Canis lupus familiaris: one gene and its partners. The protein of the gene in region 3 purifies or fractionates together with the protein of the main gene of each other region. This does not show direct contact. Links are inferred from orthologs where the notes say so. Each region holds a gene or a part of one and is shown on either strand. Other genes may lie near its edges.

Evidence for each region.
Region 1: the proteins of EEF1A1 (region 3) and EEF1G purify together in Homo sapiens (affinity purification with mass spectrometry; 5 studies listed by BioGRID and IntAct, counting the BioPlex papers as one, with this or other methods). This does not show direct contact. The link is inferred for Canis lupus familiaris from reciprocal best matches to the Homo sapiens genes EEF1A1 and EEF1G.
Region 2: the proteins of EEF1A1 (region 3) and VARS1 purify together in Homo sapiens (affinity purification with mass spectrometry; 3 studies listed by BioGRID and IntAct, counting the BioPlex papers as one, with this or other methods). This does not show direct contact. The link is inferred for Canis lupus familiaris from reciprocal best matches to the Homo sapiens genes EEF1A1 and VARS1.

What each region holds. Positions count from the first base shown.
Region 1 is NC_049239.1:54,579,568-54,583,954, reverse strand, and holds the start of EEF1G (elongation factor 1-gamma), read right to left. Parts: upstream 2,824-4,387; 5' UTR 2,677-2,823; coding exon 2,665-2,676; intron 1,558-2,664; coding exon 1,399-1,557; intron 688-1,398; coding exon 624-687; intron 469-623; coding exon 326-468; intron 1-325. Other genes in the region: TUT1 (speckle targeted PIP5K1A-regulated poly(A) polymerase), read right to left, coding at 3,873-4,387. UniProt on the Homo sapiens protein: Probably plays a role in anchoring the complex to other cellular components.
Region 2 is NC_049233.1:1,403,251-1,407,516, forward strand, and holds the start of VARS1 (valine--tRNA ligase), read right to left. Parts: upstream 2,824-4,266; 5' UTR 2,680-2,823; intron 2,523-2,679; 5' UTR 2,488-2,522; coding exon 2,101-2,487; intron 1,076-2,100; coding exon 941-1,075; intron 842-940; coding exon 703-841; intron 478-702; coding exon 353-477; intron 272-352; coding exon 184-271; intron 26-183; coding exon 1-25. Other genes in the region: U6 snRNA-associated Sm-like protein LSm2, read right to left, coding at 4,189-4,266. UniProt on the Homo sapiens protein: Catalyzes the attachment of valine to tRNA(Val).
Region 3 is NC_049233.1:35,820,377-35,824,638, reverse strand, and holds the start of EEF1A1 (elongation factor 1-alpha 1), read left to right. Parts: upstream 1-1,359; intron 1,360-1,474; coding exon of another isoform or gene 1,475-1,583; intron 1,584-1,646; coding exon of another isoform or gene 1,647-1,747; intron 1,748-2,293; 5' UTR 2,294-2,327; coding exon 2,328-2,471; intron 2,472-2,734; coding exon 2,735-2,914; intron 2,915-3,028; coding exon 3,029-3,325; intron 3,326-3,426; coding exon 3,427-3,577; intron 3,578-3,663; coding exon 3,664-3,920; intron 3,921-3,998; coding exon 3,999-4,233; intron 4,234-4,262. Other genes in the region: uncharacterized protein LOC119874198, read right to left, coding at 457-702, 1,029-1,359, 1,475-1,583, 1,647-1,747. UniProt on the Homo sapiens protein: Translation elongation factor that catalyzes the GTP-dependent binding of aminoacyl-tRNA (aa-tRNA) to the A-site of ribosomes during the elongation phase of protein synthesis.

The DNA.
Region 1 (4,387 bases), on a different chromosome or scaffold from region 3:
CTAGTCCTTTATCTTTGAATTTTAGAAGGAACCTTAGAAGTCACCTGATGTAACCACTCCCCTACCATTTGGGATAGCTTTTCTATAACAGAAATCTCTCCTCTGACCACTCATGACAGGCACCACCTCCAACTGGGTCTGTGTAACAAAGAACCCAGACACTATCAACAGCAGTGCTCCAAACTCATACCCCAAAGATTAGGTCTTTTATTATCCACAAATTCTTAGCATCTCCTTTTCTCAATCTATTTTATTTCTTGCTCCTTGACACTCAGGAGCTGATTTCATCCTGGGCCTTGGCTTCTCCCCAAGTTCCAAGGCTTACCTGCTTGTTGTGGTGCATGATGCCCAAGGTAGGAAACACCCAGGTACTGGCTGGGGGCACTATGTCGCTATCAGCAAAGCTCACCCACTGCACCACCTGGGCTGCTGCCTCTGGAGTATTTCCCCGCAGCTCCTCATTGCTCACTGCAGAGGCAGAACACAAAGGTCAGAACTTTGGGGTCAGGCCAACATCGATCCAAGTCCGTAAAAATTCTTCTCCTGTCCACTACAGCTCACCCTCATCCTCTCCTACCTCCTTCATTCCTGGTCTTCCCATTCCCACACCCACTGCAAATTACCATAGTAGGCAATGGCATTGCTCTCAAACACACAGAATCCATCGTCACCCTCAAATGCTGGAACCTGGGATAAAACAGTCAAAAGATAAAATTAAAAAAAAAAAAAAAAAAAAAAAAAAACGTTAGGTAAAACAATCAGGAATTACTCACCAGCCAATACTGGGATAAAGTTCTTACATAAGGCTGACAATCCTTACTAAGCAAACTACTGATATGAACTACTACAATCTGAAACTTAGGAACCAGAAATAAAATTTAAGTAACTTGGTATCCCTTACAATGTGAACTCACATGAGAAACCGCAAAGATTTAAATATTATCAACTGTTTATATAAAATCCCTCAATCAAATATGCAAAAGACCAAAAACCAAGTGTCATCTCTCTCCGTATTCTTGAAAGTATTGTGGTGCTCCCTGAACTGCATTTATCTCTTCTCTGTTTAGCATGGTTGTTTATCGACCTCGATAAGCCCTTTGGTTGGCTCATGGCAGATACTCGATATATTTGCGCTGAAAACAGCCAAAACCCATTCTCTTTCCCGCAAATACAAAGAAACTTGCGAATTTTATAACAAGCCACTGAACAGCTCTGCATCGTTTTTAACTATGTGCGAATCTTCACTTAACTCAAAGGAATTTTAAATCACTGAAATATATAAAGAGCAAATTATACAGAAAATTCCCTTTTAAAGGTGGAGACCATTTTCAGACTGAGACCATCTCAGGACTCCCTGGGTTCTCAGGACCAAAGACCCCTCTCCACTTTTCTACTCACCTTGCCGGCAGGAAATTTACGGAGAAATTCAGGGGTGCGGTTGGTTTGGCCGAAGTGGAAGTGGGGTGGTGCGGAGAGCACGCGGACCTGAGCCCCGCTGTACTGAGCAGCAATGAGAGCCTTGAAGGCCCTCCAGTTTTCAGGATATGTGTACAGGGTCTGTGGGTGAAAGGAGGGGAGGGAACGTTAATGAGCACGAGGCTCTCAGTCGGAAATGTCACTTCCAGGGATAAATTCCCGGAGTTATTCCCAATCTGTTCAACTCACTTTTACTCCCCCTGGTGAACCACGCTCTCTAGTATCTGCCATGTGTAATCAGAGTCCGCTGAAATGCCCAAGACAGAACTACACACCAACTGCTAAATAAAGCGCTGACAGGTTTGACCTTCCCTAAGGACATCCCCAGAAGCATTCTCGTCTCCTCCAATATATCGTGGAGAAACCCAGAACTCGTAGTTCCCTCAGACTCCACCTGCCGACACATTCCTCCCTTCCTAGAGCTCTGGTTCATTCATTGATGGCTAACGAGTACCTGCCTACTCTACGACTGAGCCGCTCACCCCCTTCGAAAGCATCACTCCCCGTCTGTCTCTCTCTCTCACACACACACACACACACACACACACACACACGACCATTTCCAAGTTCCCCTCCGAAAAGCCACGGAGAAATCGAATGGCATCCTCTCCTCCTAAACCAACTCGGTCTCCCCCAAGAGCCGTTCCTTCCCGTCCTGCGTCCCCTTCGTCCCTCCGGTCCTGTCCCGCAGTGAGTTCTGCCGTTGCTTCTCCTTCTGTTAACCGGCCACACGGTCTGGCTCCGCCGCCCGGAGAGCCCTCTCCCTCCCACACCTCCCCGCCGCACGACCCTTACCCGGAGACCGCCCTGCCTGCCCACAAAGACCCTCCTTTGCGCCCCGTCCCTGCTGCTCCCCCACAAAACGGTCGCAAAAGTTCTGTCAACCTGCCCGGATCCCACGTCCCGAGGCGGCAGTGAACCCGAACCCCCTTCTCAGGCCCCAGAAGACCAGGATCCGACATCTCCTGGCCGCTCTGCCCCAGACCCTTCCACCTCTTTGGCCTCCAAGAGCTCCAGCCTCAGCTCCCCGCCGGGGCCTGGAAGCCTTGCTCTCCCAACAGTACGGTCTCCAGACCCAGGACCAGTCCCTCGCTCGGCTCCAGAACTTCTCTGACGCCGGAGGGCTCCACTCGGGCAGAGGATGGCGTCGGATACCGCGACCTGGATCTCCGGAGCCGGCAAACTTACCCCGGCCGCCATGGTGATTCCGCAGAGAAAGGGGGTGGGGCGCTCGGCGCTGCCGCAAAGTAAGCCGTCGGGGAGAGGAGGGGGGAGGGGAGAGCCGCGGAGGAACAGCAGCCGCAAAGCGAGGACGGCACAGAAGGCATACGCACGACAGTTCTACACCCCGCCGCGGCTGAATTGCAGAAAGAAGGGGGTGGGGCCTGCTGGTCGTCACAGGGACAGCTCGCGCCTGCGCCACGCGACTCTTGACTGGCCCGCCCCGCAGGCGACGGAGGCCAATGGGAGTCCCGCTTGGAGGTGCGAGGCGCGGAGGGTAAACCGAGAACTAGCTGGAAAGCCTCCTCTTCCCGGCGACGTGGCACGGCTGCCAACTCCGCGCCGTGCCAGGTCCCAGGGGCGTTCCCCTCCAGCTCGGAAACCCGCGGTGACTTGACGGAGATCCTTCCAGGCCCCTAACGTCAGGACTGGGGGACTCTCACTAGGGGCGGAAACCAGTCCTGTGTGCCTAAGTACGTTTGTTCCCGCTCTGGTTTTCTACGGGAGAGGAGGATGATCTCACCGGAGCCCAAGTCAGAAACCCCTCTACCAAAGTGAGGTCTCCTCCGTTTAAACCACCCGGCGGGCTCCGGGATGCAATCGCTGCAGGTAGGGCCTTGGTGCAGGGCCTGCAGCCGGGAAGGGCCGAGGGAGAACACAGCGGATCCCTGCCTCCCGCCACCCTGCAGAGGGCTGCCAGTTCACCGATGATGGACACCCCTTTACCCACGCTCAGGTCGGACAGTGTTTTTCCCCGTTTTAATCAGAACAGGATGAACTCTGTTAAGTGAGAGAATGGACAAAGAACCCTGAACCCCGATTTCAGGCCGTCACCATATAAATCTGGGCGGTAAGGTAAAGTGGAGGCAAACTCGGTTCTTGTTCCAGGTACTGCCCAAGCCGCCCACCTGGCACTCCATCCTTCAAGAACTCTACCGAGCGGGCTCCGGGTGCAGGAACACACCACATTTAGGCCTCCCTGCAGGTGGTGATAAATGCTAAGAAGCAAATAGGCCCAGACCTATTTTAGGGTGGCCAAAAAAGGCATGTCTGAGAAGAGCAGTAGGTCTGGGGAGGGCAAGTAGTGGGTGGAAGGATTACTACCAGGTGGAAATTAGAGGAAACTCTAGTGTTTATTAAACTAGCAGCTTTATTGCCCATTAGGGTCCCTGTCTTCACTTGAGGAGGTTTCGAAGTGCTTGAGGGAGGTAAACTTGTAAGAAATGATGGAGATCAGGGAACAGGCCTTGAGAATCCTGGATTGGGGTCACGGTGAGAGTCTGGTCAGCCTGGGAGGCAGATGCCACAAAGGTCAGGAGTGGCTCAGCCTCTGGCCGCTGTGCTGCACCGGTTGGTCCTCCCAGCTCCTGGGTGACCTGAGCCTCAATCGCCAGCCATGCTGTTGTGCCAGCAGTGCCTCCACCTTTGTCCTTGGTCTGCTGCTGCAAGCGTCGCCGGGCCCGCCGCCGCCCCTGCCACACTCGGTGCCACAAGGCACAGCGCCAGCTCACTGAGGACAGCAACACTCCCTTCCCTGTCTCAGCCCAAAAACCTTCTCTGGCTGCATCAGCATCAGGGCCTTGAGGCCTCTGCTCTGCCAATGCTGCATGTCCTGGTTGTCCCTCCCCTCCAGTAGCTAGCTGCTTTGTGGTCGTCTGGGGTGGCTCCCCTGGCCGCCCAGAGCTCTGCA
Region 2 (4,266 bases), about 34 Mb from region 3:
GAGTCGGGCATGGTGCCACTGACATCTGGGGGAGAGACGGGGAGGGGGCAGTGTCTGAGACTGGGAGCAGCCGGGGGGCTGTGCAAATCCTCCAAAGCCAAGTGGAAGCAAGGGCAGTGCAGGAAGGGACAATGCCAAAGACAGCAGCAGCTAAGGAGGGGGGTCCCTTCCCGCCTCTCATACCTTTCTTTTCCCCAGCTGGGGTTGGGAGGTCATATGTAATGACCCCAGGATCCCGTTTTCCCCTCTTCTCTGGTTTTGGTTTCTTCTGCTTGGGAGGGAAAAGATAGAGGCAGGGAGGTCATCCACCCACTGGGGCACCAACCTTCTAGTTTTCCCCGTAGCTTCTCACCTCCGCCGGCGGTGGCTGCTGCTGTTGTGTCTTCTGCTTCTGCTGGAATTTCTCTAGCTTCTCCCGTTTCTTTGCCTCCTTTTTGAGTTGAGAGGCCGTCTTTGGGGGTGCAGGGACCTCGGGGCCTGGACAGAGGCACAGAAACGCCAGCTTAGCCCATTGGGGATCCTCTGTGAACCATACTACTGTTTCATTCGGGCCATTCCAGCGGCCCAAGGGCTCCCCATGCTGGCCTCCCCCCCCCCCCCCCCCCCCCCACCCTCAGGGTCCTTCCCTAGCGATTCTGTCAGGAACATGAGCCCCACAGAAGGCCCAGAGGAACGCCTCCTTCCCTCCCTAACCCTCCTCACCTGGCTGTTGAGAGAGGAGTCTGGCCCCTGAGTACAGAACCACCTCTCCCAGCACTGCCCGGAATTCTGGCTGCTGGACACATGTGGTAAACCAGCGAGTCACATTACCCCAGATCCGGCGGGCAGAAGGGTCCAGGACCTGCGACGGTGAAAAGAAATAAAATATCCTTAATCACCTTAGAGTGAGGTCTGATGGGAGCTGCACGTCCCCATTCTTCTCCAGGCCCCTGTGACTCACGTAACGGAAAGGCAGGAGCAAGGCCGTGACAGCTGCCAGGTCAGCCAGTGTGGGGGCCTCCCCAGCCAGGTAGGTGTGCAGCCGAAGCCACTCTTCCAAGGGGCTCAGGGCCCTGCCCAGGGCCCCCAGGGCAGCCTATGGGGAAAGGGAAGGGGTAAGGGACTAGGCTTGGCCCACCTCATTTCCCCATCCCGTAACCCACTCAATCCACGAGTCCTTCCGCTCCCAAAAATCACCACCTCTGAGGCCAAATGGTCATAATAAAAATATTTCCATTTGTTCAACAGATTCCTGCTGCACACTTACTATGTGTCACATGAATATGTTAAGCACCAGAAGTTAAAGACTGCATGAGGCAACACAGTTATTGCCTCCAGAGGTGTTTATTAAGCACCTATACAGGCCAGGCACTTCTCTAAGGAATGTGGAGACAAGCAGACCCTGACTCGTGTTCACACTCCAGTGTTTACACTTCAGCGGGGGAGACGATAAATGCGCAAATATAGAGTACATCACCCTATTTTTCTCTGTAAGTGCTGTGAAGAAAAACAAATCAGGCTGAGGGAGATGAGGCATTCCAGAGAGGGGCCCTCTATGGTAGGCGGTGTAAGTAGGACATGAGGGAGCAAGCCAGGGTGTAAACCAGGGATTCATTGCTTTCATTCATTCATTCATTCATTCATTCATTCATTCAAAGAATACTAACGATCCACCATGTGCTCAAAACTGTGCAAGGAGGTGATGGTTCTGGAAGTGCCTCAACCTGCACTCAACCGCCTCAACCTGCTAGCGCACTCTCTGCTCTCCCTGCCTTCTCCTCCATCCCCAGCACCCCGCCACTCCTCCCTCCCTCAACCCACTAGGCAGTAACCTCCACCTCCGCTGCCTTCCACTCCTCGATTCTCCTCCCAGACTCTAGAACCCCGAGCACCAGTCGGCGCTCCGCACAGCTCTTCTCATCTCAGCGTGTTCCTCAACAGGAAAACTTCCACTTTCCAAGACGAAGACCAAGGCTATTTAAGAGACCTGCCGAGGTTATCACTGCAGATGACCACCGGGGATTTGCTCAGAGTCTCTCCACGCCTGGCCCGCGCCCTTCCGGGGCTCCTTACCCCTTCTCATCTTCTTCTTCTGCATTTCCCCTCCTCCGTCCCGCTCACCTGGGGGTCCTGGGCAGCGCTCCGGAGTCCCAAGGCGGGCAGCGTTGCTCCGCAGGCGGCCGGTATCAGCTCCGTGTCGGCGTAGCTGACCCACTGTTGGACCAGCACGGCGGCCCGGCTCCCCCCGGGGCCCCCCAGGCCCGCCGGCCACAGCAACTGGGCCACGGCGGTGGCCCCCCACACCCAGAGCCCGCCGGGCCCCCGCTCCAGGGCGGGCAGACGCGGTGGGGGGCAGGGGGTCCCGCTGGTCGGGGGCGGCTGGAGGCAGATGCGCGGGTGGGCTCCTCCCCAGCCCGGGCCCTCCCCGGCCTCCCCGTAGCGCGCGGCTATGAGGGCCCGGAGGCTGGGGAAGGCGTCGGGATGAGGGGAGACGTACAGGACGGACATGGGTACGCCGGGGTCCGAACGACGTGGAGGGAGACCTAGGGGCAGAGAGACGGGGGCGGCTGAGCGACCCGAGCAGAGGGGACCCCGCGGGGTCCCCCAGGGCCGGAGGTCCCACCCGGCCTCGGGAGCCCAGGGCCTGGCTCCACAACGGCGCGCGCCCGGGGCTGCCCCTCGGGATCCGCGGGTACGTACTGGAGAAAGGCGGTCACGCCGAGCCGGACAGCCACCTGCGGCCGGGGCCGAGGTGGGCGGCTCTCGGGGCGCCCCCGGCTCCCTGCACCGCCGCCGGCCGTGCGCGCCCACGTGTCCCCCTTTGTGACAACGAGCGTTTCCGGGCCCGCGGGTCGTGGCGCGGGCGGCCGTGCTCCGCCTGCGCGGGGGCGATGCCCGCCGACAGCCCTCGCGGCCGCGCCGCCCGCCGCGCTCCCGAGGGGCTGCACGAGGGCGCACGAGGGCGCACACGGGCGCGGGCGCGGGCGCGGGAGCGGGGAGCGCCCCGGACCCGCTCCCGTCAGGCGCCTCCGCGGGCAGCCCGCGCGGGTCCTCGAGCCAGGCCGGGCCGGGAGGGGCGGAGGGAGGGAGGGAGCGAGGGCGGCGCCCAGCGGGCAGCCCGGGAAGCGGCGGGCGGGGGCCTGGGGCGCGCAGCCTCCTCCCGAGGCCTCTCCCCCCCCGGAAGCAGGCGTCCCGCCTGCCGGCCGTCAGCTCCTTTGGTGCTGAGAACTCGTCTCTAGAGGAGACTCCTGTTTGCCAAGTGAGCCGGTTAGTTCCCAGTCCTAACTCCGCAATAAAAATATACCACTTGGGTACGCCTGGGTGGCTCAGCGGTTGAGCAGCTGCCTTTGGCTTGGGTCGTGATCCTGGAGTCCCAGGATCGAGTCCCACATCCGGCTCCCTGCATGGAGCCTTTCTCTCGCTCTCTGATGAATAAATAAATCTTTAAAAAAATATATACCACTTGCATTGATCTGTTATATTCAAAAAGAGTGTAGTGATCTGGCTGGGTTCAGGAACCAATCCAGCAGCAGCAAATGCACTTTGGTGTCTCATAAGATTAACTGTCAGGTGAACGGGACAGAGATGGAAAGGCAGCAAGTTCTCCTTGTGGGTCCAGTGCAGGAAGACCACAGTAGGCAGGCCACACGGGTGGGGGAATGTTCAAGAAACCTGGTGTAGCCCAGGTGAGGTATTATGATGTGCACCATGGAGAAGAATGACAGATAATGCTGGGAAGTTGGGCGGGATTCTTAACTGCGGTAATAAAGGAGCAGAGTTTAGATGAATTCACCCTCCGGGCCCCTTCCCAAAACACACAGAACCAGAACTCAAATGTGCATCATAAGTTTATTCCCGATGCGGGACAGATTCCTTCCATCCCCCAAATGAATCACATGCTGCCCTGGAGAGATCTAGGAGATTCTCCTGCCATATCCAGGGAAGGAGTGAGAAAGGCAGGTGCTGAGGACAAGGCAGGCTTTGCAGTTCCCTAGCCTATTATCGTCCCCTCCTCAACAGAGGAGAGCTACTCCCCACTATTAATATTCTCATCCACTCATCCCTTAAAGAAAAAGCCTCCACTCTTTAAAAACAAACAAAAAAAAGACCAAAAAAATCCCCCTCAAATATGGGAGGGAGGAATCCCAGGCTGTGACTTGAGGTGAAAGGTCACTAACAGAAGAGGGAAAGGGAAGGGAGAAGGAACCATCACTGTTTCTGCTGCAAGGCCTCCTTCCTCGCTGCATCCTGCAGCAACTGTGTGTCCACCTCATCTGCCGGCAACTG
Region 3 (4,262 bases):
TAACTAGCTCATTAAAAATAAAAGTTCCTTCTTGAAAGTATTTCTCAGTCTGCCCTGATTGCCAACCAAAAAGGCCTCATCCGGTTTCGCCCTAAATTTATGCTCAAATGGAGTTAAAATCCATTTAACAGAAAATGAACTAATTTATTTAAATGGGCTAGGCCACCTTTAAGAAGCAGTGATTCGCAGCAAGTGTTGGGGATAGGAAATTGGGTGGATAAGCTTGCTGAAGCCGTAGATCTTAGTTTCTACTTGAGATCATGCGGAAAGACTGAATTTGAAAAATTCTTTTTAGGTTGCTCATGCTAGCAATCAAATGAGTGTACACTGTAGAAAAAATGTACCACGAGAGTAGACACACATAGGGTCTTTCTATAACGTAATGAAACTAGAGTTAAAAGGCAGACTGTGGGATTGAAATCTATTCTGAACTGAAGAACTAGACGTCTGGAGTACCATATGGGGTGAACGTGTGACTCGGGCTTCGGTAAAAGCAGCGGGCTCGGACTGGAACAAGCCAAAAGGCTAGCCCAAGAGCACATTCGTCCGGGTCACGGCCACCGAGTTGAAACCCTTGCGGATTCTCCGGCTGTGAAGGCGGCCCCTCGGGTCCCTCGCTGCCCTGGGAGCCCGGGCCTTGTACTCTCCAGCCCCGAGAGGAAGAGAAGGCAGGGGCGAGGGAGGAGCCAGCCCAGGGCGGACCTGCGACGAGCGGAGGAAGCGGCTCAAAGGGGCAGTCCTGGACCTTGGAGAGGACCAGGTTAAGAACTGGAGGTATACTGCGGAGGGAAGGCGTACTCCAATCGCCACACCATCTTTGCAGTTAAACCAGGAACCGTAGAGGGCAGATTCAGTACTTCCCCGCAGGGCCGCCTCCTCGCCCCCCCGCCCGCCCCTTCAGCTGGAGCTGAGAGTAATTCATACAAAGGAGGACTCGCTTCAGCCTCGGGGAATCCCAGGGACCGTCGTTAAACTCTCACTAACATAGAACGAGCGGAAAGCTCGTCCCCGCCTCCCCACCCACTCACTCTCGCCGTCATCGGGGTCAAGAGGAGCATGCGCGAGGAGATGTGCGCTCTTTAGTGGGCTGAGCGCACATCGCCCACGGTCCCCGAGCAGTAGGGGGAGGGGATGGCGACCGAACCGGTGCCTGATGGAGTTGGCGCGGGGTAAACTGGGAAAGTGGTGTCGTGTGCTGGCTCCGCCCTCTTCCCCGAGGGTGGGGGAGGACCGTATATAAGTGCCGTAGCCGCCTTGAACGTTCTTTTTCGCAACGGGTTTGCCGCCAGAACACAGGTGAGTGCCGGGTGTGGCTCCCGCGGGCCTGGCCTCTTTGAGCTGCCAGCGGCCCTCGCGTGCCTTTTACAACGGCCGCGCCACCGAGCCACTTTACGATGTTCTTGACCCCGAATTTCGGATTGTGAGTGGGTGGGAAGGTTCCAGGCCTTGCGCCTTTTTTTAGGACCCCTTTTGCCTCGTGGTTGGTTTGAGGCCTGGCTTGGGTGTTGTGGCGGCCGCGTGCGAATTCCGCCGCACCTTCTTGCCTGCCCTCGTACAGTGGTTTAAGCCTCCAGACGTTTGACCTACCAAAAGAAGGCCGCTATGGTTTTCTCCGTCGAGATGGTTGAGCGGAGGTTGGTCAGGACTTGAACGGGGTGGGCTTTTCCGCGGTCGTCGCGTTCTTGGGGTGTGGGGCCGCCGCGAGGCGCGGAGGGCGGCGACGAGGCCCGCTCGTCCCGGCGCACATGTCCGACGAGGCGGGGAAGGCCCACGAGCCGTGGGCGCCGCGTCGGACGCGGGAGAGTCCCGTGGAGTGGGCCGGGCGGCTCTGGTGCCGGGCCTCGCGCCGCGATGTACCGTCCTACGCCGGGCGGAGAGGCCGGCCCGCTCGGCACCAGTTGCGTGCGCGGAAAGATGGCCGCTCTCCGGCCCTGCTGCAGGCAGCTCAAAATGGAGGACGCGGCGGCCCGGGAGAGCGGGCGGGTGAGTCACCCACACAAAGGAAAAGGGCCTTTCCCTGTTAGGCCGCTGCTTCCTGTGACCCTACGGTGTACCGAACGCCGTCTTGGCACCTCCATTCCGCCTCAACGCCTTACAAGCAGGCCTTCCCCGGAGGGGGGAGGGGATTTTATGCGGTGGAGTTAACCCCACGCTTGGTGGGTGGAGACGAGAGTTGGGCCAGCTTGGCCCTGGTTGTAATTCTTGGAATTTGGTCTCTGCGAGTTTGGTCGTGGCTTATTTTCAAGCCTCCGGGACAGTAGTTAAAAGGGTTTGTTCCTACCCTAAAATTTAGGTGTCGTGAAAACCACCGCTAAACCTAAACCAAAATGGGAAAGGAGAAGACTCACATCAACATCGTCGTCATTGGACACGTAGATTCGGGCAAGTCTACCACTACTGGCCATCTGATCTACAAATGTGGTGGGATCGACAAAAGAACTATCGAAAAATTTGAGAAGGAGGCTGCTGAGGTTGGTATACTAACTTAATGAGAGATCGTTAAAAAAAAGTCGGCCAGTGTCAACTTCCCCAAAACTAGTTACTAGTCTATCAGAATCTGCTGCTTGTGGTAGATTGTTTGTGCTTGCTGAAGAGTTTTTTATCTATGTAACTTTGGGAGATAGAACTACCTAACTGTAAAGTGGAATCCGCATTTCTGCTTAAGCAGGAGTTAGGGATTTCAAGTTGGAAGTTTGTGTTTAAGTTACCAAGTAACCATTCTTAATCCTTACAGATGGGAAAAGGCTCCTTCAAGTATGCCTGGGTCTTGGATAAACTGAAAGCTGAACGTGAACGTGGTATCACCATTGATATCTCCCTGTGGAAATTCGAGACCAGCAAGTATTACGTGACCATCATTGATGCCCCAGGACACAGAGACTTTATCAAAAACATGATTACAGGCACATCTCAGGTTTGTAGGATTACTTGAAAATAACTGTAGGCTTGGGTTTTGTATGGGAAAAAAGGGGGAGTTCATCTTTTTGAGGAACATTTATTTAACAGGATGTCTTTTTGTCTTTTAAAGGCTGACTGTGCTGTCCTGATTGTTGCTGCTGGTGTTGGTGAATTTGAAGCAGGTATCTCCAAGAATGGGCAGACCCGTGAGCATGCCCTTCTGGCTTACACACTGGGTGTAAAACAACTAATTGTTGGTGTTAACAAAATGGATTCCACTGAACCACCCTACAGCCAGAAGAGATACGAGGAAATCGTTAAAGAAGTCAGCACCTACATTAAGAAAATTGGCTACAACCCCGACACAGTAGCATTTGTGCCAATTTCTGGTTGGAATGGTGACAACATGCTGGAGCCAAGTGCTAACGTAAGTGACTTCAAGGCTTTGAGGAAGTGATAGAAGAGGCATATGTTGACACTAAATGACAACAGTTTGGGGAATGCTAATGGACAATCTTGTTTTTTTAGATGCCTTGGTTCAAGGGATGGAAAGTCACCCGTAAAGATGGGAATGCCAGCGGAACCACACTGCTTGAAGCCCTGGATTGCATTCTGCCACCAACTCGTCCAACTGATAAGCCCTTGCGTCTGCCTCTCCAAGACGTCTACAAAATTGGTGGTAAGTTGAACATTGCCATTTAAAAATACGATTTATGGATTGTTCTTCACAGAAGGTATCTGACACGATGCTTCTAAATATTTTAGGTATTGGTACTGTCCCAGTGGGTCGAGTGGAGACTGGTGTTCTTAAGCCTGGTATGGTGGTCACCTTTGCTCCAGTCAATGTTACAACTGAAGTAAAGTCTGTTGAAATGCACCATGAAGCTTTGAGTGAGGCTCTTCCTGGGGACAATGTGGGCTTCAATGTCAAGAACGTATCTGTCAAAGATGTTCGTCGTGGCAATGTGGCTGGTGACAGCAAAAATGACCCACCAATGGAAGCAGCTGGCTTCACAGCTCAGGTAACACACTTAAGAGTGGCAATGTTCTCTTTGCTAGATCCTGTTTGAAATGTATTAAATGCAATTTTTTCCTCCAAGGTGATTATCCTGAACCATCCAGGCCAAATCAGTGCTGGATATGCACCTGTGCTGGATTGTCACACAGCTCACATTGCCTGCAAGTTTGCTGAGCTGAAGGAAAAGATAGATCGTCGTTCTGGAAAGAAGCTGGAAGATGGTCCCAAGTTCTTGAAATCTGGGGATGCTGCCATTGTTGATATGGTTCCTGGCAAACCTATGTGTGTTGAGAGCTTCTCTGACTATCCTCCTCTGGGTAAGAATGATTTAAGCATAATTAGAAAA